Caenorhabditis elegans: one gene and its partners. The protein of the gene in region 2 interacts with the protein of the main gene of each other region in a pairwise test. Each region holds a gene or a part of one and is shown on either strand. Other genes may lie near its edges.

The links.
Region 1: the proteins of pac-1 (region 2) and ifa-1 interact in a two-hybrid assay, tested with the Caenorhabditis elegans proteins (one large-scale study listed by BioGRID).
Region 3: the proteins of pac-1 (region 2) and cip-2A interact in a two-hybrid assay, tested with the Caenorhabditis elegans proteins (one large-scale study listed by BioGRID).
Region 4: the proteins of pac-1 (region 2) and spc-2 interact in a two-hybrid assay, tested with the Caenorhabditis elegans proteins (one large-scale study listed by BioGRID).

What each region holds. Positions count from the first base shown.
Region 1 is NC_003284.9:11,270,784-11,276,010, forward strand, and holds ifa-1 (Intermediate filament protein A), read left to right. Parts: upstream 1-2,013; coding exon 2,014-2,122; intron 2,123-2,486; coding exon 2,487-2,558; intron 2,559-2,606; coding exon 2,607-2,770; intron 2,771-2,817; coding exon 2,818-2,931; intron 2,932-2,979; coding exon 2,980-3,077; intron 3,078-3,153; coding exon 3,154-4,013; intron 4,014-4,060; coding exon 4,061-4,200; intron 4,201-4,249; coding exon 4,250-4,468; intron 4,469-4,521; coding exon 4,522-4,560; 3' UTR 4,561-4,699; downstream 4,700-5,227. UniProt on the Caenorhabditis elegans protein: Cytoplasmic intermediate filaments make up the structural component of the cytoskeleton providing mechanical strength to cells.
Region 2 is NC_003281.10:8,493,211-8,498,132, reverse strand, and holds the start of pac-1 (GTPase-activating protein pac-1), read right to left. Parts: upstream 3,024-4,922; coding exon 2,871-3,023; intron 2,036-2,870; coding exon 1,888-2,035; intron 1,077-1,887; coding exon 881-1,076; intron 505-880; coding exon 252-504; intron 199-251; coding exon 48-198; intron 1-47. UniProt on the Caenorhabditis elegans protein: GTPase-activating protein for members of the Rho subfamily including Rac1, RhoA and cdc42 and other Ras-related subfamilies including let-60.
Region 3 is NC_003280.10:270,958-275,912, reverse strand, and holds the start of cip-2A (CIP2A N-terminal domain-containing protein), read left to right. Parts: upstream 1-1,940; 5' UTR 1,941-2,019; coding exon 2,020-2,088; intron 2,089-2,304; coding exon 2,305-2,500; intron 2,501-2,740; coding exon 2,741-3,011; intron 3,012-3,384; coding exon 3,385-3,548; intron 3,549-4,083; coding exon 4,084-4,246; intron 4,247-4,407; coding exon 4,408-4,564; intron 4,565-4,955.
Region 4 is NC_003281.10:8,180,139-8,187,881, reverse strand, and holds the start of spc-2 (SPeCtrin), read right to left. Parts: upstream 6,002-7,743; 5' UTR 5,950-6,001; coding exon 5,905-5,949; intron 5,851-5,904; coding exon 5,747-5,850; intron 5,697-5,746; coding exon 5,483-5,696; intron 5,433-5,482; coding exon 4,593-5,432; intron 4,549-4,592; coding exon 3,775-4,548; intron 3,727-3,774; coding exon 3,313-3,726; intron 3,271-3,312; coding exon 2,964-3,270; intron 2,917-2,963; coding exon 2,028-2,916; intron 1,979-2,027; coding exon 839-1,978; intron 792-838; coding exon 497-791; intron 451-496; coding exon 1-450. Other genes in the region: putative calcium-binding protein C50C3.5, read right to left, coding at 7,586-7,738.

The DNA of each region.
Region 1 (5,227 bases), on a different chromosome or scaffold from region 2:
GAATTGCGAGATTTTGAGTTCTAAAAACAACTCAAACTGATGAAATGTGCGTCGACTTTTTTGTACTGCAACCATCGCAGTGTCCCCGACTTTCACACGATCTCTCGCTCATTTTAGACCGGTTGACAGTAGATGATCCTCAGTAATTATGAAGTTTCACCTGCCACGGGGCCGCCGTTTTCTATGCATTTGCTACTGCCTCATCTCTTTGCCGCTGCCATTTATTTTTGTTTACTGTACACATCATTCTGTTCCATTTTAACCCCTCTCCCTTTTACTATGTACTTTTCGAAAATTGTTCAATAGCCGAGAGCCCTGGATGTTTGAGCCGAGATATCTTTTTTATGTACACCGCCATGCTGGAACGCAGAGAAAACTGTTTATCTTCCCATTTTTCCAGAAACTCGTTCAAACGGATACTTCTCTCAGTGAGAAGCGGTACCTAACCAATCAACATTTCAAAAATGATGGAGATTACCAGAGAAAGTGAGTTTCTTCATTTTAACTACTTAAATTATTCCGATGACTTTCCAGGAGGTGAGTTGCGGAATGTTTGCCTTTGTATTTCGCGGTAAGGTGCTTACCATAGACTAACAAATCTAACTGATCAGCGATTGAAAATTCAAAACTTTGAAAAAATAACATTACAGGCATGCGTTTTTTAAAGAAAAAAGATTAATGAAACAGTGAGATAAGACGGAGTGCAAGATGAACAAGCACATCGGTAAATAAGAGGCTCGTTTCTTGTGCCTTGTCGCAATTTTTTATTGAGATATCTTTCCGATTGTCATTGAAGCATCACATTTATCCGCATAGGCTTATCTTATACTAGTGAATATTTTTGCAACTAGATCCTACTACTTTTTTATATAAAAATGTACACTACTACTCGTCCGGGTAAGTAACTGGCTGAAAATTGCATTCACTTCGGCAAAATAAATTATCTAACAGGAGTTTATTTACAAAAACTTGGTAGATCATTTCTGAATGTATATATAGTTTAAAAAACATCACTTTTTTTTAGACCTGAGCAATTTAAATACTCTTGCTAATATAAAACACCGTGTTTGCTGAAAAAATACAGTGTTTTACATAGTTAAAGCTCAATCCGTTGCTTGAATTTCATTTAAACGAATCCATATTCAATCTTGAAAGTGACAGAAGTAGAATAGGAGTGTTCCCAGATTTAATCGCTTTTGTGAAAACCAGACAACTAACACATATTCTCGCAACTTATATATGTAGGTGTTTCTAAACTTTTTCAAACATATTTGCACCGTTATTCCATTTGAACTAGTCATCAATCAATAAACTACTCGTGAGTACTCAAAGTTAATTCAAGGCTAATTTTCTTCTCACTTCAAATTTTTGAACAATTTTGTACAAACATATATTCCGAGGCGTTGTCTAGTTTTTGTCTCCTCTTCCACAAAAGTGCGTAGGCACGGTAGCAAATTGAAATGAATCACCTCAACCCAAAAAAATCTCAAATGTCATTTCGCACTTTAGCAAAGCCTCGAAACGTATGAATTTATGCAAAAACGCATGTCCAATAGGCGAAAAAAGTAGAATCGAGAGGAATCGTAACGACGTAAGGGTTGACTGAGTTGAGGATGAGATGATTTTTGGAGGACGCGCCCATCCCTCACACCTATTCTTTTTTCCGCATTCGCGCCAGATATCAAGAAGCCGCCGTTCCGTCCTCACTTCACACCCATTTTAAAGTGATTCTTGACGCCTCCCTTTGCAAAAAAATTCCAAACACCGACTTGAATCAATATAAATATACATAGGCAAACAACTATGATCTCATTTCCTTTCGTGGAAAAGGGCAATAATAATATTTGATTGAGTTTTCTATTTCTCCTCATAGATTTTCATAGGTTACTCATAGGTTTTTTTCTCTTTATACAACAGTCTAGAATACTGAAATATATTAATTTTGCATTGCCTGTTTTGTTCTGCCGCCATGTATAAAAAGAGTTGAGGAACAAAAAATTTCATTTTCTGACTATGGAAGGTTATATTGTTTCTCTTCCATCTTCGCGACGATCAAGCGCTTCTAGCGCTCGAAGCGAGCAAAGTTCCACACGAACTGTCAATTACGAAGTGATTGAAAAGAGTAAGCCTTTCTTGTGCCCTCAATTTCAACTAACTCAAAAAATTGCAATTTTCGTTTAATCCCTTTTGTCTACATGCTATTATCATTAGTGTGGGAGGAAGCTGCGGTTGGTAGCAATGAAGGAGGAGGAGTAGAAAATGTTGAATAAAAAGTGAGGAGCAGTGCAAGAAATTTGACGCCCACCTAGTTTGCGCACCGTTGAGACTCCGCTTTTGTCTCTACAGTCAGCCTCCGACTAATTCCTTGGTCACACATTACGGCAGTCAGGGGTTGCCATACAACTCACAACCTCATTTTGAAATTTCGAAGCTGCCGAGTACAGTCGGCCCTTTTCACTTTCACAATAGAAATTTACGATTTGCAGCGATGTCTTTCACTTCCACAACACCTTCAGCTAGAGCTCCGCTCGGAGGGCGTACAACCGGAAACGTTACTTGTAAGTTTATTGTTGTCTGTGCAAAACATTTAAATCAACATATTCCAGCCCAAGATCGTATGCTCAAAATTGTGACCGAGATGCGCTCAGGTGCTGGATCCGGCTTGTCGCCATTTGGACAAAATGCTGCATCAACCATCCGTGACTCTCGTGAACGTGAGAAGAAAGAAATGAGCGATTTGAACGATCGACTTGCTAGCTACATCGAAAAGGTGTGTAATAGGAATAAGATGGACCACACCCAATAGTTGTTTTTTAGGTCCGTTTCCTAGAAGCCCAGAATAGAAAATTGGCAGCCGATCTTGACGCACTTCGTTCCAAATGGGGAAAAGACACGCACAACATTCGTAATATGTATGAGGGAGAACTTGTGGTAGGAAAATACAGAAAGGAAACTTTTGGTTAGAAAACTATATTATAGGATGCTCAAAAGCTGATTGATGAAACCAATAAGCAACGCAAGGATATGGAAGGTCAACTCAAGAAGATGCAAGATGAACTCGCTGAGATGCGCAGAAAGTACGAACATATGTTTTGAAAATTATGAACAGCATATTACCGTTATTATACTTTTTCTACAAAATGTATTTTTCAGATTGGAAGATGCCACCAAGGGCCGTGAACAGGATCGCGCTAAGATCGACGCACTTCTAGTAACCCTTTCTAATCTTGAAGCTGAAATTAGCCTTCTGAAACGTCGTATTGCTCAGCTTGAGGATGAGGTGAAGCGGATCAAGCAAGAGAATCAGCGTTTGCTTTCTGAGCTTCAAAGAGCCCGTACCGACTTGGATCAAGAAACCCTCAATCGTATTGACTACCAAAACCAAGTTCAAACTCTTCTTGAGGAGATTGATTTCTTGCGTCGTGTCCATGACAATGAGATCAAGGAGCTTCAAACTTTGGCTTCTCGTGATACTACTCCAGAAAACCGCGAGTTCTTCAAGAACGAACTCTCCTCGGCTATTCGTGACATCCGTGAGGAATATGACCAAGTCAACAACGTTCACCGTAATGACATGGAATCCTGGTATCGTCTTAAGGTCCAAGAGATCCAAACGCAGTCTGCCAGACAGAACATGGAACAAGGGTATGCCAAAGAAGAAGTCAAAAGACTCCGCACCCAACTCAGCGATTTGCGTGGAAAGCTCGCTGATCTTGAAAGCCGCAACTCTCTCCTCGAGAAACAAATTCAAGAGCTCAACTACCAATTGGAAGATGATCAGAGATCTTATGAAGCAGCCCTCAACGACAGAGATTCCCAAATCCGCAAAATGCGTGAGGAATGCCAAGCCCTTATGGTCGAATTGCAAATGCTCCTGGATACCAAACAAACTTTGGATGCCGAAATCGCCATCTACAGAAAGATGCTCGAAGGAGAAGAGAACCGTGCTGGACTCAAGCAACTTGTCGAACAGGTTGTCAAGACCCATGCTATCACACAGGAAACCGATACCGGTAGCAGAAAGACAATTTTTTCCATTAAAACATACATCCTTTTTCAGAGACGATGAGAGTCGTCAAGGGCGAAACTGCATCCCGTCAATCGTTCCAGCGTTCTGCAAAGGGAAATGTTTCTATCCACGAGGCATCGCCGGATGGAAAGTTCATCGTCCTCCAGAACACACATCGTGCCAAGGACGAGGTAGGAACTTGAATCACAACAGTTTCAAATATTTTTTGTTCTCTTTCAGGCTATCGGTGAGTGGAAGTTGAAGAGACGTATCGACGGAAAACGTGAGAATGTCTACACGCTTCCAAGAGACTTTGTCCTTCGTGCCGGAAAGACCCTCAAAATCTTCGCCCGTAACCAAGGAGTTGCCTCACCACCAGATCAATTGGTCTATGATGCTGAAGACTCGTTCGGAAGCGGAAACAACGTCCAAACCATCCTCTTCAACAAAGAAGGAGAGGTGAGATCAACAATTAAATGTCATTATATTTACAACATTGATATTAATTTCAGGAACGTGCTACCCACATCCAACGCCAGAGCACTGCCTAATCAGGCGACTTCCCAACAATTAACTAGATATTGTGACAATTTCTTGTTGAAAATCCCAAAATCTTCTTCCCATTTTGTAACTTTCATGCTGATTTCTGCGCATTTATTTGACCTTATTTCAATAAATCATTTATCATTCAAACATCAAAAAAAAATTTGATCACAATGTATTTGCGTAGGTTATTTTCATAGAACAGATGATGTAAAATTCTCAAAATCGTCGGAATTCGCCCACCTGAAATGGAAGCGTATGTTTTTGGTTACTAATCAATAGAGCTGAACGAAATGCCGTAAATAATTGTATATCGGCGAGATGAGCCGACGTCGACATCTAAAACTCGCGTTACTGAGAAGTTTAAAGTGTTGTCCTTCTTAAAATTCCAGTTGCACGAATATAATGTTTTAAATTTTTAAATATAATTTTGAAGTAGGAGCGTATGCCAAACAAGGGAAAATATTTTGAAACTATGGTCACTGCGCTTGATTCGAGAAAATGAAGCTACTACAAAACTGTCTAGGGTTTTAACAAAATATTTTTCCGCTGGAATTGTTACCAAATACTTTTTCAGCGTTCCATCTAAAAGCACATCTATTGCATTTTTAAATGAGCTTTAAATTTGCACTGAGCACTACAGTTTGCTATATTATTTCAATAAAAAAATAGAAA
Region 2 (4,922 bases):
AAATTTTGAAGTTCTAAAAGATCGCGTTAAATGAGAAGAATTTTACTTACTTTCTTTCAATGGATGCCTCTGCATTGCAGCCATAAAACTTGCTTGTCTAGGCGTGTTACGGGATAAAGCACTTCCAGATATTTTATCAGAGTCTTCATTATTCAATTGTTGATTCTCCGTATCCAATGATACTTTGGAAGTGGATATCTAAAAAAATTATAAAAAAATATAAAACGTGAAAATTATATGAGAAATCTCACATCATCACTAATAGGTGCAAGTCCAGCAGTTGGAGCATGACGCTGGGTAATCGGTACCGCCACAACTGATAATCCTCCAACGATCGGAGAGCTCGCTCCACTTCCATGTCTATTCTCCAAATCACGGAAATATGCAGCCGGTGAGAGTGCTCCGCGAGCTAATGGACGTGAACTTTTCAACCATCCTGCTTGCAATGATGGACGATGTTCCGAGTTTGTAACTTGCCAAGTTGACACCGAGCGACCAACATTTCTAAACGTAGAAATTATAATTTTTGTGAGAAGCTTAAAAATAATTTTTAAATAAGCGATAAAAGTGGGAAAAGTTTGTTTCAAATAGTGGTGCACATCAAGGATGTCGGTTTTCCAATTTGAATTTATTGTTAACTTTTTGATCATTATTTTCGATTTTTCGATTTTCCGGAAAATCGAAATGGTTTTGTTTTTCTTGCCGAAAAATATTAAAAAAAAAAAAATTTTATGAAAAAAAAAATGTTAGAATTTTAACAGAGAAAATAGGAATTCGCTCTTTCTTAAATCACAATTTTGTAGTGATTTTCTGATTGAAAATACGTTTCTTTTTTTGTATTTTAGGGATCACAACGACACAAGGCAGAATGAATACATACCCATATTCAGGTGGTTCTCTGCGAATTCCAGTTGTGGCAATTGTATTGGTTGATCCGTTTCCAGTTAATGGTGACGCTGTATTGCAATACAATTGATCATATTTGGGAAGAGTTGAAGAAGACGAAACAAGTTGACTTCCATACAGACGCGTTGGACGATGACGATCTTGCCAAGACCCGTAAATTGCATTTCGTGCTGAAAATTCTATTAAAAGATTAGAACATCCAATTTTCCTTTAATAACTTGTTCAGATGCAATATTTCTCAAATTTTTCTATAAAAACCGCAGCCGGTAACAAAGTGACAGACGTGTTATTTAGATTGAAAGAGTCTTTAAGGACTACTGTAGTTGGGCGGTAATTTGACAATTTTTTTAATTGCCAAAAAAATTTAAATTCTCAGAATGAAATATGAAAATCTCAGGATTCTTCTTTGGGCGCAAGGGTGTCGACTTTTCACAATCATCGAAAAAATTGATTTCTGATTTTAAGAAAAATCGAATAATTGCAGTTTTTTTTTTAAATTCAAACCGATATTTCAAAAAAAAATATTAAAAATAAAATTGTTCTTTTTTATTTACAAACAAAAAAACAAAAATTGATTTTAAAAATTGAATTTTATTGTTAATCTTCTAAACATTTTTTATTCGATTGTTCGTTTTTGATCGGCTCTGAAAAAAATTCGATGGCACCTTTGGTTAGTAAGGAAAAAAATTAAATTTCTTCGACAAAAAACACGTGTAGAAATTATGTTTTGCTGATTTTTTTCTTCAAGATTTTATGAATTTTAAAAAATATATGTTGACATATTTTTCAATAATTTTAAAGATTTACACTTATGAAACATTCGAAAATATCTCGCAACAAAAAATACTTGGGAACTACAGTACTCCTCAAAGGCGCACACTCGCTTGCTTTCAAGAACATCGGAAACTTTGAGACGGTGTACCGTATTTTTTTGGAGCGAAAATAGAAAAATTTTGCATCTGAGTAATAAATATTCCTTACCTGATGGAACTTGTGATGATACATCCACAATATTTGTCGTATTTGCTTTTCTTCTCAACTGTGGCTGATATTGCTGTTGATGTCCATTTGGTGGCATCGCTGACATTCTTGGACGCATCTCACCGAGCAATGCCGAGATTCGAGCATTCTGAAATTACAAATAATTTACTGTTCCAACGAAAAGAAAAAGAATACTAGAGAACGGGGCGGGACAATTGAAATTTATCAAGCTACCGTATTCCGTATTTATTTTTCACCAATTTCGGCTTTTCTCATCGTACAGCACATAAAATCGGATAAAAGAAAATGGGTAATCGGAAAGAAGCAGGAAAGCGCGGAGCCGATTTTATGAAAGATGCAAACGAGGAGAAAAGCCGTGATTCTGACTGCACTGAATCCAATTCTTTATGGCGAAAAAAGGAGAAAATGGTTAATCATTCTGCTTTTTCTACTACCAATTTTACTTAAATAGCTTTCAGAATAGAACGCTAATGGAATCAGGAATTTTTTTTCCATTTTCTGTTTCTTACATTTTACAGTTAATTCTACGAGTAGCGTCAGCTAAACGTCTGTAAAAAGTAAAATTGTCAGAATTAATTTAACAGAGCTCGAAATAGTTATTAGCATTTTTGGTAAATCTTTTTAATACGATATTCCAAACAAGGATGTCGTTTTTTCGATTCTTACTAAAATCGAAAAAATTTTTTTCTTATATCTCGAAAAATAGCTCAATATTTTGGTCATTTTCCCTTTGTTTTAAAGAAAATTGCATGATTTTTTTTAAATCAACATGCACAAAGTATTTTTTTTTTAATTTAATTTTATTGTTAATTTGCTACAAAAAATTGGAAAATTTTCGCTTTTTAATTTTCGATTTTTTTTCTAGATTTCTCGAACCTTGCTAATAATTATTTCAATTCTGTTGTATTTCTTTTCTCAACAAAAATATTTAATTTGAACAAAATGTAATTTATTCCACCAACCTGAGCTAAATCTTCGTTACTCTGCTGCTTAAGTTGATGCTCACTACGTGCTGCTCGAAGAGCCCAACTGCCGAATGCTCCGTCGACAATGTCTCCTCCTATCACCGACGCACGCTCCGCCTTGACATGGAGCCGTCGATGGTGCTCCTCCATCGAGCCGAAACTCTTCTTTCCTTGTTTCTTCTGTTGTTCGTTATGTTTGACGTGTTTGACGTCGTGTGCCGTCTGACGCACACTATTATTATCTGAAAATTGTATTTTTTGTTAGAAGAGAGTAATATAGAGTTTTGAGGAACAACAATTTTATAAGCAATAAATATTCTTGAGAAAGCAAAAGAAAAGCGATCCGAAAAGCATCGTCCAAAATTTTTGGAGGAAATGGAGAAAGTGTAGCAGAGGAATGGGAAACAAAGGAAATATATTATGCATGTTCACAAAGAAATGACCTCGGAGCAGTAGCAATTGAACCCAGAATCCAATTAGAAATATTTTCGTTCCATGATAAACCAAAAACATATATTTTTGAGCTTCTGATAATTCGAAGGTTTGTCTGGCGCGTTCTGACTACGAAAAGGTTACGGCAAGGAATCACGAAACTTTAATCATTATGCTACAAATTTCGATACAATCAAGGTTTTTCATATAATTTACTTTTGATCTACCTGCTGAAGTTCGAATGACGAGGTTGATCAAAAATAAATTGTTTGAACAAACTGTGATAGTATTTTCTTAATAATATTTTTCTACATTTTTATTTAAAAATACAATGAAAAAATTTTTAAACTAGACGATTTAGAGCAATCAATCCACTTTTATGAATTTTGAAAAGAATCTATTTGAGTAAATAGCAAAACGGTACGCTGTGAATACAAAATGCATTATAAATGTAAATGCTATAGCGATTTCACTTAGTTTGAAATTCAAATAATCCGTTGAGCATCAAAAAGTGCGTAGTTGAGGTGTACCGATATACCTTCATTGCAACGGCGTAAAATAACGACCAATAAAATTTGTGCAGGCGTGGGCTGGCACACATTATACGGCAGAGGTGAGGATGCAGATATTCTTCATGCTCAGCTCATAAAATTCAAATCAGGGCACTTCTAGGCTGGGATGCATATGCTTAAAAATTCACATTCGAGAAATTTAAAAGTATCATTATACAAAACCAATATGGAATTTGTCGAGGAAAATGAATGAAATGACAAGGAGGGAAATGAGGAGGGGGGAGAGGAAGAAGTTTTCAACAAAAAACTTGTTCCCACTTGGCAGGGAAATGGAAAGAGGATGAAAAAAAACGCGGACAAAAGCAGATGTTCGAAAAGAAAACAAAAGTAAATCCTCCTTTCTTTTTTTGTTTCTCCCTCATCATTGTCGATTGGCATCTTATAGTTTTACACCCGGATGTGCCATCCAGATGTAGATATTTAGAGAGATGATAGACGAAAGATTATTCAAAAAGTTTCAAATCTCGCACGGAAGATTCTCAGATCTTAATGAGTGGATCAAGAATGTCTCAGAATTTTCAGAACAAAACCAAATAAAATCATTTTATGACAATAATAGAAATGAATCTTGGGCGGATTGAAACTAATTTACAAAGCACATGAGCTGATATCGTAAATTTTGATAATGAGAGAATTCGAAGCGTTTTTCGAATTACAAATTATGGAGAATATTAGGAACCTTGAACGTTAAATGAAATAAGGAACGAGACTAACGACATCTAGAGGACAGCGATTCGATGAAAAGGACACAAGCCAGGTGCGCCAGTGAAGAAGGGGTGCGCGCGCGAAAACGAGGCAAACACGGACGGAAAGACTACGCGAGTTCACCTTGACACGCTTGTCATCATCATCGTGGCCCTCATCTCGTCCTCAGATTCTGATGAATGAGCGAATTATCTATGGTTGTCGTCGTCGTGTACCACACTAACAAGCATCAGTGCCCAACAGTATACTGTCTGTGAGTGAATGTGTGGCGGCAGTGGCGCCCGATTGCGAACGATAATTATTATGTAACCGATTGTGGCGACGATGGGGATGTCGGTAG
Region 3 (4,955 bases), on a different chromosome or scaffold from region 2:
CGATTTTGCAAGTTGGAAAATGACACTCTTTTCCTGTCTGAGTCTCTCCTATATCCAGTACTATCTCTTGATGTATACGTAGCGCGATAATTGTTCCCCTTTTGAACTGAAGAAGATGATGGAGGCGTCCTTGAGTAATCCCCTTTATTCCTTCCCATTTAACTCAACTTCTCTGCCTCTTCCTATATTAAATCCTGAAATTGCATTCTTGACAGAAATAAAAAATAAGGGCACGTTGTCGTAATGGGGTGTCCGATAAAAATGTACAAACTTTGAGCTTTAATAACTTGGCTCATAGCTGGCGCTTTTGCATTCACTAAGTGCGAATGACTCAAAAATAGTTGCCCCACCATGGTCATTATTGAGAGGATTGGTTTTGGGAAGGGTAGAACACTGATTTGCGCAGGTTTCTGGAGACCGCGAAAATTGAATATTTTCTTTGTACTGAAGAGTTTTATGTTTTTCAGTCCCAAATCTTCAGTTTTTCTGGCATTTGGTTCCAATTTGTGCACAAGATAGAACTTCGAATTACCAATTTTTTGAAACTATTTGGAAAAAAATTGACCAACTTTCCAAAATGTAGGCCATCATTCAAATTTTGCAAAATTAAAAGAATGGATTAAACGTGAAAAACTTTTCTACCACTCTCTCTTTCTTTATTTTTGGGGATGAATTCGATAATTTTAATTTCTTATTTTAATAACGTGAGGAAGTTCAATTTTAAAGATTTTTCGAGATTTTTACTTTTTCTCTAATCCTATTGAGGACCGCACTTCTCGGACATTTTGGTCACTTTAAACCTCACTTCCAGCAGGGCAGGCTGGAGGCCTGCAATGCTATTGTTTTTCACTCAAACCCAAAAATCAGGGATGAAGACCTCCCTCTTACTCTTAGAAACTTTAGACCTTTTCTATCCCTACTCCCAGCAGAGCAGGCTGGAGGCCTTCTATGAGACGTATGTTTCCATAACTACGTCTGTTTTTGGAAAGGTCAGGTAATCCGGATTGAGGGCCGCAGGCCCGAATACACAAAAGTATTGAACAGCCATTAAGCCTATTCTGAGCCCAATAAACCCGAGTTGAGGGCCGCATGTCCGAATACACGAAGAAGTGTTGGAGATCCGTCAAGCCTATTTTTGCCCGAATACATGTAGAAACAGTGGGGAACCGTTAAGTGCGATTTGAAAAGTGGAAACTGTTATTTATAAAATTATCATTAAACTAAATTCTTGAGTTACTCTACGCCGAACCAAACTGCGAAGCCTAGCAAATCTCCGATTTGCTAGTCATCTCGTAGATATTCAAATTCGGTTTTGGAATTTTAGATAAATCCTAGACATACAGAAATTCTAAGATTTAGCTCTAGTTTGAACGCTACAGTGGAATTTAAATATTTTTACTTGTGTGATTTTATTCAGTTCGATGATATGAACTTTGGTATTCATGACTGAAAATCCAATAGAATGAAGCTTAGTTTTTCATAGTTTTGAGCAGTTTTCCCAGCAAAAAGGTTCCAAATCCTGATTTTCCCTAGTTTCCAATTTAGACAAGGATTACTGTAGCTACCGGGGCCACTAAAAATCATTTTTTGTGGCTTGTGTGCTTCTATCCAAATTGATGGTATGAATACCGGTATTCTCGGCTGAAACATGCAATAAATACCGTATTCCAACCAACAATTCGGTGCAATAGAGCACATTTGTCACCGAAAATGCGGAAGCTATGCCCAAATTTTTAGGAAAATCTCAAGATTTTTGCTATTTATAAGCGTAAATCCCTAGCAAAGATATCAATGTCCTTTTGGTATTTGCTCAAACCCTCCGAATCCGTTCTTGTTGATCCACTTATGTCTAGAACGCTTAATTAGCGCAGTTACTACTGTTCCCTTGTACTTTTAATAGACCTTACATTAGCGCGAAAAATCTGGTGTATAAGGTACTTTTTCAGCAATTTCCTCATACCTACTCACCTATTCTACTCAATTAATAACCTAGGAAGCGATTTTTTTTGATGGAAAACTATGGAAAGGAGCAGTTTTCGAGCGTCACAGAGATTTGCAAGAGATCCACCACCGCCGAATATCAATGAGGTATATAAGGGGGCAGTGAGCAAGTGCGCCCCACTGAGAAAATATGCGAAAACAATGCCAACGTGCTCTAATAAAATGGATTTGTAAGCAAGCGCGCGAGCAATAAAACTTTGAAAAATTCAAATTTCCGTTTACGAGGAAGCGCGCTCTGTGGAAAAATCCAATTTTTTGAATTTTCAGTGCTATGCAACCCTGCTCTAACGCTAGAATTTCCAGACTGACGCAATTTTCTCGTTGGCGACTACTTCCGCTGCCAGATATGTATCGGATAGCAGTGCTGACAACACAACTCGCCTCGATGAAGCGCTTAACGGAATGATCCGCTACGTGGCAGACATGGATCGAGCCACACGGTTATCGCTGAAAAATCAGCAATTGAAAGAGTTTTTGACGTATACCCCAGTGATTTTAAGTGAGTTTTTGGACCTGACCCAAAAATTATGGAAATTCTATTTTTAAAAAAATCGTTTTTCGAAAAATAAATTTTGTTTTTGACTCACCGCGGTGATCACCGGACCTCAATAATTCACGAAAATGTTCTAATTTTTCAGTTTTCAAAGCCGAAAATTCAATTTTTTTTTCAAATTTCTGTAAAAATCACTAATTTTCCCATTGCGTACCCAATACACCATATTTGACGCGCAATTTCCAGATGCCTCCACAACAAACATTGTAACACGCTCGAAATTCTACCGACTTCTCTTCTCAATTGCCCATCATAATATACCGATTCGTCGATTTATGGCCGGAGAGCTTCGACTTCTTGGAGCAGTATTTTCATGTCTAAAAGCATCACTTCGAGAACAATTAGGACCACAAAATATGATTGATATTCTCAGATTATTACAAGTTTTAAGTTATGAAAAGAATGTGCCATTGGAACATTGGGCAAACGAGCTTATATCGTTTTTAATGCAAGAAGTGTGAGTTTGAGGGCGAAAATTGCAAAAATTGATATATTTTGCATATTCTGCGACTGGTAGAAATTTTTATTTAAAAAATCTACAAAAAGCAAGTTTCTAACATTTTTTTTCGACAAATTTGCAATTTTCTGGTTACTGTAGTTCAGAAGCTAATTTCCAGCAAGGAAATCAACAAAAACCGAAATTCCGGTTACTGTGGCTTCAAAAGTACGCAAATTCACAGAAATTCAATTATAGAATTTTGTGGGATTTTTAAAAGATTTTTTCTTTAAATTATAGGAACAAAAATTTTACGATAATTTTAAAATTCGGGCTAAAATTTTTTTTGCTCGCAAATTAGATCAATTTTTCTAATTTTTCAAACATTTTTCAGAATACGAGAACCCGAACCAGAATGGATGCCATACTGTATTGCAATACTGTGCAATTTGGCTTCTGCATCGAAATCTGCGTGTAAACGAATAAAAATATCTACGTCATACAAGAAGTTTAGCAGGCAATTGATGAAATTACTACAGCACAACGCGAGGATAATCGGTAATTTTTGGAATAATCGAGTTTTCAGAATTTTTAGTGAAAACATGAAAATTTGAATTAATGACATAGTTGGAATTCCAATAAAATTTTTTTTTTGAAATTAGGACCACCGAAATTGATTTTTGGATTATTGATATTTAAGAATTTTTTGATTTACGGAATATTTTTAAAAATTAATTTTTTTTCATTTTTCAGTAGTTCCAAAAAACTGAAAAACAATTAGTTTTCGAAAAAGTCGAAAAAATAATTTTATTTTTAAAAAATTCGCAAAATATTGTATTTTTAGAAAAAAAATCGAAAAATTGAATTTTCAAAAAATTCGAAAAAAAATTATTCTAAAAAAAAAACCGAAAACTTGTTTTATTTTCATGAAATTCGCAAAAGAAAAAACATCGAAAAACTGTTTTATTTTTGAAGAATTCGAAAAAAAAAAATTTCAAAAAACAAAAAATTGTTTTATTTTTTAAAAACTCGGAAAAAATTGAAATTCAAAAAATAACAATTTTTAACAAATCGAAAAAAAAAGTATTTGCAGTCGTCTCAAGCCTGGTACTAATTGGATATTTGGACGAGAAAGTTCGAGATATGGTGTACTGTACTGAGAATGTCCATGATACATTTATGTGTACTTTTAATGTTCTTACTATTGGAGATGACGATTGTATGATGACACGACAGATTGCAGCTGATTTGTTGAGGTAATAAAATAATTTCCAGCGAAAAATAGTAGAAATTCAGTGAAAATTGGAGAAAAATAAGAAAATTTAGTTCATTTCTAAACTCTTTTGAAATTTACAATTTTAATGTAACGTATGAATTAAATAAATGTTGCTAAATTTCCTAAATTTCCTAATTTCAGACGCCTAGTTGTCTCGGAAAGCTCAACAACGCCCGGAGTGCCAACACTTGCTTCAACTGGCAAGAATGTGTTGAATTATGGATTTTTCATTGGAAGTATACAACAGACCGCACGTCTCCTGGTAACACTGGATCCAAGGACTGAGGAGAGCTCTAAGGTAGTGGAAAGCATGGGGTTTCAGAAAAAAAAAGTGACAAAAAACTAGAAGCGTTAATATGGGAAAATTAATTTCACGCTTAGAAGTTCAAGTAGATATGTTTAGAAAAATTTATTTTTCCAAAGTTTTGAGCAAAATTTTCAGCAAATTCTGAGTTTGCCAGAGTTTCCATTAAGCAAGGGTTACTGTAGCTTCGGAAGCCATTAAAAATGAATTTCTGTGGCTTGTGTGGCTATCCTAATTGATGGCTGGAATATCGGTATTCTCGGCTGAAACATGCAATAAATACCGTATTCCAACCAACACTTTGTGCAATAGAGCACATTTGTCACCGGAGATGCGGAAGCTATGCCCAAATTTTGAATTTTTCTGAGAAAATGATAAAAAATTG
Region 4 (7,743 bases), 310 kb from region 2:
AAATGTATCTTTGGTGTAGGTTTCAACGAAAGTCATGGTAGAATGATATGCGGTGTTTTCAAAATTGCTGGCAGGTTTCTGATGCCTGACCAGATTTCCGATCTTCTCTTCCTGCTCACGAATGCATTGAATACCAGTGTCGCATGTAGAAACAAACTTTGTGAATTCAATTGACTCCTTGATCTTCTGATGCATTTTCTTCAGTTCTTCATTCATTTTCAACCATTTCTTTCGCAATTGATCGATTGCTGTTACAGCAACCTTCGTTCGAATCACTTCATCATCTGACATCTGTTCAGCTTTGATCGTCAATGTGTCCATATGATCTCCAACTGTTTCCAAAACTTGAAGCTTTCGTTCAACATCAGCTAGCACTGTTTCTGGTAGGCCTGTTTTGAGATCGAGAATTTGATCGAGAAGTTGCTCTTTCTCACGGATTTCATTCATTGTCTGAAGAAAATATAGTTTAAAAATAATTAAGTGTTTTTAAAATCACCACAAAGTACTCCGTCCACTTTTCGAGCCGGTTCGTACGAATCTCCGCAATTTGACGATTGCTCTCCAGTAGTTCTGTCAATTCAGCCACTTTCTCATCGATTTCGACAAATTTATATTCAAGGGATGGACGTCGATGACTTGACACTAGCTCAGTTGTGAGATAGACGACTTTTGCCACTTTTTGTTCTCGACGCTGCGTTTCCAGTTGAAGACGTTGATGCTTCCGCTTAAGTACATCATTTGAAGAAACATCATTACCAACGTTTGTACTTGAGAAGATTACATTGATCTCTCTGAAATTGTTATATAAAGTATGAGGATCAAAACAATAATAACTAACTTGAACCAACATATCTCATCATCAATTGCTGTGACAACTTTTTGCATGCTTTTCCAGACATCCAAATCTTCATTATTTGCTTTAATTAGCATTTGCAACTGTGAGATTCCGTTACGCAACTTCTCCACAATAACATCCACAGATTCATCACATTGAATACGTATCAAGATATCATCCTTTTCTCCAGCTTGCTCTCCTAGAGATACCAAAAGACGTGAAGCTTTTTCAGCATCTACAGAGTTATACAAGCCAATGAAGTTTGTAGTGGAGTGAACATCTGTTTCAGCATCAATCAGCCAAATGCTCATGCCATCTAGAAGTTCAAAAAGGCGGCTTTTTTGACATTCTTGTGCAAGCGATTTCTGGCGTGTTGTTGACGATTCAATGAGGCTGCTCCATAGGTGACGAATTACTTGAACTTTTTCCTCTTCAACCTGGCCATTGTTGAGAAAATCTTCATAGATTGTGTGATAATCGTTGATATCGGAAGCTAGCTCATCGTGTCTCTTTTGCATTCTTTCAATATCATCAGGCTTTGTCTTGTTCGAGACTTCCACATCAGCTTCTAGTGCTTCGGTGCGTTCCTTAATCCATTGTCGAATTGTGTCAAATTGCTCATCGATTAGAATCTGTGACATGGAATCATTCAAATCTACTTCTCTCCTTCTCAATTCTTCTTCCAAATGGTTCCATTCCACATCCAACAGTTCGAATTTATTTTCCAGCTCAGTTGTTTGGAAAGTGTCGGACGTTTTTGATGCTTTCAGATTATCCAAAAAATCTCGCAATTGATCAACTTCACCTATTCTACTCATCATCATCTTTTCCACTTCATTCATTCTCCGAACCAATGTCTTTGCATCACACATTGTTGCTTCTGTCTCCAACTGATGTCTTTTGCCAGAAGCCCACGAATAGAGTCGTTCACAATCCCGCTCAGCGCCTAGAATATCCGCGAATCTGCAGAGGTCGTCCTGTTTCGTGTCGATTGTTTCACGAGCTTTCACTAGATTATTCTCAATATTAGACACTCTCTCGAGCCAAGGATCCATTTTATCTTGTTCTGTGATTGCATTGCCAACAGAGGAAAGAGAGTTTTTGACACCTCCAAGTTGATCCACACGATGAGATAGTTCTTCTCTGAAATAATTTGAAATTGAAATGCTTTAAAAAGTCTGATCAATCTTACCTCCACGTATCAATGGATTCTAAACCAACTTGTACTCCAAGACCATCATGGATACTTCCAATAACTACAGTAACCTCCTCGTTGAACGTATCAATCCATTGCTCCATATTGATCATCTCATTGTCTAATTCGGAAAGAATTTTACAGCGCTCCATTCGTTTTTTATGATTTTCATAGGCCTTACTAACATCCGTCCACTGCTTTTCAAGTCTTTCTTCGGTGTCATACACTTGTGGAGCCAAATCAGCATTGGCTGCTCTCACTTCCTTTGATCTGTCAAGAGCTTCAACGACGCGTCTTCTGAGTGTTTCCAGATCACCGGCGAGGTTCGACAGATCATCACCAGCAACTTGTCGCTTTCTACTAGTGCTTTGAGAAACATTAATTTCTTCAAGTTTCATTTGGATGGCGTCAATCACATCTTCAGTCTGGCTCTCCAACTTCTTGAATATCTCGAGACGGCATGCTTTTTGGCGAATACGGTGGACTTCAAACGAGAAAACATCAAGCATACCGAATGCGTCGTCAATCTTTTGCATTTGTACTTGTCCAACTACATTGCACTTGATATCGGTGAGATTGGAACGTCTTCTTTGAATATTCGTCATTACATCATCTAACTTTGTGGGCAGCTCATCGGAATCGGATGCCAAATATCTGTTCAACTGATTCTGCTCAACCTCAATCCACTGCTCTATATCAGCAATTTGATGAGAAATGTCTGCATCCTGTAGAATTGCTTTGAGTGTTTTCAGCTTTCTCTCCACAAGTTTCTTCAATGCTTTGTAATCAGATTCAATTTCTCCCTGCTTTCGAGCCAGTACAGCTTTCAATTTCATTGTTTGCTGAGAGGTAGAATCTTTTGTGTTTGGAGTGACCAGTGCGTCTTCTGAAAAAACTATAATCTTAGACATCTGTGCAAAAATGGGAACGTACCAAGAAGAGCATGTGTTTCAACGATTCTAGGTTTGTAATTCTCAACTTCCTCAGTCAAGGCTTCCAACTTTTTGACCATAACTTCATTGAATGATTCGTCTTCTTTAGGTTCGATTGTATCGGCACATATCATTTTTTCACGAAGCCATTCTGATGTTGTCGATGACTCTTCATCATATTCGTACAATTTGATAATTCTTTCAAGAACACCTCCTCGTTCGTCAAACAAATCCTTCATTCGATCCCAATTTTGTTCAATCTCAAGAAGTATCGGTTGATCTTTCGTTGTCGCACTCTTCTGGATTACCTGAAAAAATCTTATTATAACTAAACAAACAATTATTAGGACCTCAGTAATTTGTTTTCGACGATTTGCAATTTCTTCGAAATCGTTATCGTGGCGTCTTCTCATTTTCTGGGCAATTAACAGTGAATCCCAGAGAGGTTCCGCACTTAGCGACTTGATTTTAGCCCTGATCCATTCGTTTTGTGAATTCAGTTCGTTCATGTTTTCAGTGATGTGCAAAAGTTTCTTTGTATCATCTACTTTTTGGTGAATCTTCACTTCAAAGTTTTCAACAGAATTCTGAATTCCTTCGAGAAGGCATCTTGGATCATTATCAGTATAAACGTTGGCCAACTCTTCTAGTTTTGAATCAATTGATTTCTTATACGAAGCACAGATTGACAACAGATGTTGATAATGAGTGGTAGTACGTCGGAGATTCACAGTTTCAGAAACGATATCGGTATCATCCTGAATCTGAAAAAAAGAATACATTTTCATTAGTCTTTCATAAGATATAAATACCTGATTGTTATCAATCCAATTTTGTACTCTTCCAACGAAGGCTTCTGTTCTGTCAGCTGCCTTTCTAGCTTCTTTCTGGCTTGCCTGTCTACCGACTTCCATTTCAATCTTTTTCAGATTTTCATAAGTTTTTCTGAGTTCTTCATTCGCCATGTTCTTTTGCTGATCATCCAACATCATATCCACCATCTCTACTTTCAAAGAATCCAGCTGATCCTTAATAGGTTGCACGATTTCGAGCTTGACTCTACTGCTTTTCACGTTGCTGAGCATGGTATCAGTGTGTTTTCTAGTTTCACAACAGTTATCGAGAAAGTACGTGACATCGAGAAGACGCTGTAGGATAGCTTTTCTAGAATTGACAGTCGTTTTCAGAACTTCTTTCATCTCGTTTAAATCGTTCACTTGTTTCGACGCGTATACGCTCAGCTGGTTGAGTTGTTCTGGCTTCTGACGCAGCTCGTCCTCAATATTCTCGATCTGCTCAACAACGGAAGTACAACGAACAGTGATGCCATCGATTACGCGAATCTCCTTTTCAATATCTTCAGCGTTCATATCTTCCGGGCTTTCTTCGTGATTTTGAAGAAATGATGCAAGAATGACAGCTTTTTGATGAGTTTGAAAGATGAGCTTCTCCATATTGATAGTTTGGATACGATCCTCCAAAAACTCATTGCAAGTCTTCATAGTTCTCTTTGCCAACTCATAAAGTTCAGTTGTTCTTTCAACTTCTTGTTTAACGTTTCCATTGTTCTGTTTATTTAGAAGTTCCTAAAAAACTATTATTAATTTCACAAGGTTGGGGATCTGTTTACCTGAGAACTTGCAAGGAACTGAACAACAACATTATCCCAAGAATTAAAATCAAAATTATTTGTTTCAATCCACATGATAATTTCATCGCAATCCGGCGTATCTGAAGTCGCCATTATCTTCAAATCTTCAATTTTTTCAGATGACCAACAGCAGATGTTTTCAGCTTCTTTCATCAATTTGTCGGCATCGGCAGAGTTCTCTATATCGGTTTTCCACTTTTGAACGAAAGCTTGGAATGACTCAAAACGTTGCTCAACATCGATGACGTGATTCTTCGGATCCGGGATGTTCCGAAGATTATCATTTTCCATACCAACAAATTGTTCCTTGAGATCTTTAATCCGTTGCTCTACACTCTTCATTTCAATCTCAACTGTTTTCCGATACTTCATCATAACTTCAAAATCCATTTTTGAATACTTCTCACAAATCTCTTTCTCCTTGTCATCCATCCATTTGATCAAATCTTCTGCATTATCAACAAACTTTTGGAAGCGCTCATTTTCGCTAAGCTTCTTGTGTAGAGAATCGATGTATTCCTGGAAGTTGGACCAAGTTTCATGCACTTTTTCATAGTTGCTCGTATCAGTTGCAGTGGGATCAAGCATTTGTTGGAAGGTAGCAGATATTTCATTCCAAACCATGGAACACTTCCGAATTTCGTCGAAAATTTCTTTTCCAGATTCGTCCGATTCTTTTATTTTCAAAATCCAGTCAACAATGGAATCACACTTGTTTTTGAATTCAATGGATTCAATCTCCTTTTCAAGTTGGCGCCATTTCAAAGCGAGAAGCTTCAGCAGATACTCCCATCGAGATAGAACATTGTTGAAGGTCTTCTGAAAAAAAAAATACTAGAACATTTGTATTTAAATTTTTTGAACTCTGCCTGAATCTCATCCGAAGCATAGTGACCTTCTTTCAAAAGACGGGCGGCCTCGTTCTCCAACATTGGCAAATTATTGTGCTTTCCATCAGCTTCTTGTTGTAGACGCCCAATAACTTTCTGTCCGCGAATGGAACTTTCAGAACATTGACTAGTAACTACTGCTTCAGATGATTCAATCAGTGACTCGATAACCTGCTTGAACTCAGCCGCTGACCTATAAATTTACATTTTTATTTTTAAAACAATGATTGACATGATAATAACCTGAGGTAGACTTGCAGTTGACGCGATTGGATGATCGAACTTCGTTTGTTAATAGCTTTCAGTTCAAAATCGGCAAACTTTTGAAGCACCTGCACACGCTGTCCCTGAAAACGAAATTTTTGATATTTTTCAATCATAATTATTTGAAAAAAACGTACCTCGATTTCACGAACGACAGTATCATCATGAATAATTGCCTTCATAACTTGATTAAACCAAAATTGAAACTAATTTTCAATAGAACGAACGAAGAAATGCCAAAAGTTTCCCTGTGTGTTTTGCAACGTGGCACCACGTGTTCAAGTTCTCCCGTTTTGCGTTCTTGTTGAAAACAACAGTTCACGTGAAATTGCAAAATATCACGTGAAAATTCAATTAATTAAACCACCTTAAAACATCTTGAACACCTCTCTTACAGACAATTTTGAAACACATGGCAACCTTATTTTTTTCGAAACTTGGTGTCACACGCCTTTTAGTGAAATTCCGGTACAAAAATTATTCCTAATTCGCGTCCATTAAGAGGCTTCGGCCATCAGGTAGAATTTGAAAAATAGAAATTTTTACTCTTTTTAAAACCATAAATATCCGCAAATAATTGTGCAACCAGCAGTCAGAGCAAGTCCTGAAATATCAATAATAATAAAAACTTGATAATCAGCGCCTGCTTCAATTACTGGTATTTTCCAATCAATTTTCCAGATGTATACAAGACTACAGTAACCCCACCAATTGCGATTACTGTCGATGCCGCTAACCAGAGCAGATGCAACAACATGTCACCCGACATTTTCAGTACGATCTTTGTATCCAATAGGAATCCTTGAGAAATAGTGCAACTTTTGCTTCGAATTATCCACATATGATTAAGCATTACGGCCAGAGCATCGGCGAGTGAGGCGAGTGGCGCATCCAACTGGTGCCCAACAGATTATTGTTTCTGTTTCAGACGTACACATACTCAGTGTATTCGACACCTTTGACTTTGAACCATACGAGAACTCTACCTTTGACAGCGATTTCAGGTTGGATACGCCACTCGCCTCACTCGCCGATGCTCTGGCCGTAATGGTTAATCATATATCCAGTGTGGATAATTCGAAGCAAAAGTTGCACTCGTTCTCTCTGATTCCTATTGGATAGACAATTCCGGAGTAAAAAGTTGGCCCGTACCGTACCACAAGAAAAACAACACTTCCAATTATGTACTTTTTTTGAAACTAAATTTTTGAAAAATTTTTATTTACTGTCAAAAAGTGGCAATTACTCAGTTCCTGCCACTCTTAATTTTGGAAGTCGACCAAAAAAAAATTGTTTAATTTTTTATGTTTTAATTTTGTTTAAATTATTTGTATTAAAACATTGTAGGGGTCTAAACGTGCGATGTTTCTTTCAATTTCCTCAAAAGTTCGTATTTTTCAAAATTTTTGGCAATTTGCTAAAACTTTGACCGGAAATTATGAAATATCTCAAATTTTTTGGAGTGTTTTATTATGATATTCGGTTGTTTTGGATCATTTTAAGTGCATTTAGACAAAATCCCCACTTGCGCTACTCTACCTTTAAAATTACTTTTTTAGTAAGTAGTAAAACGGTCCAGGAAAAACAAAAAAATATATAATTTTCAAATTTTCAGTTTTTCAACTAATTTTTCATTCGAATTTTGTTACAAAAACTTTATGTAGGGGTTCATTGCTCTAAGATTCTCAAAAGCCCATTTTTTTCAAAAAATAATGCAATCAATCGAATGGTAAAATAGCAAATACGATAAATGAGATCAATATTAAAGATGGTAAGTGAGAATGAAGGATGAAGCAGATATAATGCGTATATTGGAAGTTATACAGTCTGACACATTGTGATAAACTCGTGGATTGTTGCTTTTCCGCGTCCTTGTGTATCTGCTTGTTGAATAAGTGCACATGCTTCTTTGACGGTGATATTTGTTGAAACTGTTTCACTCCAAGCAACAACAAGTTCTTCAGCCGAGATCTGGA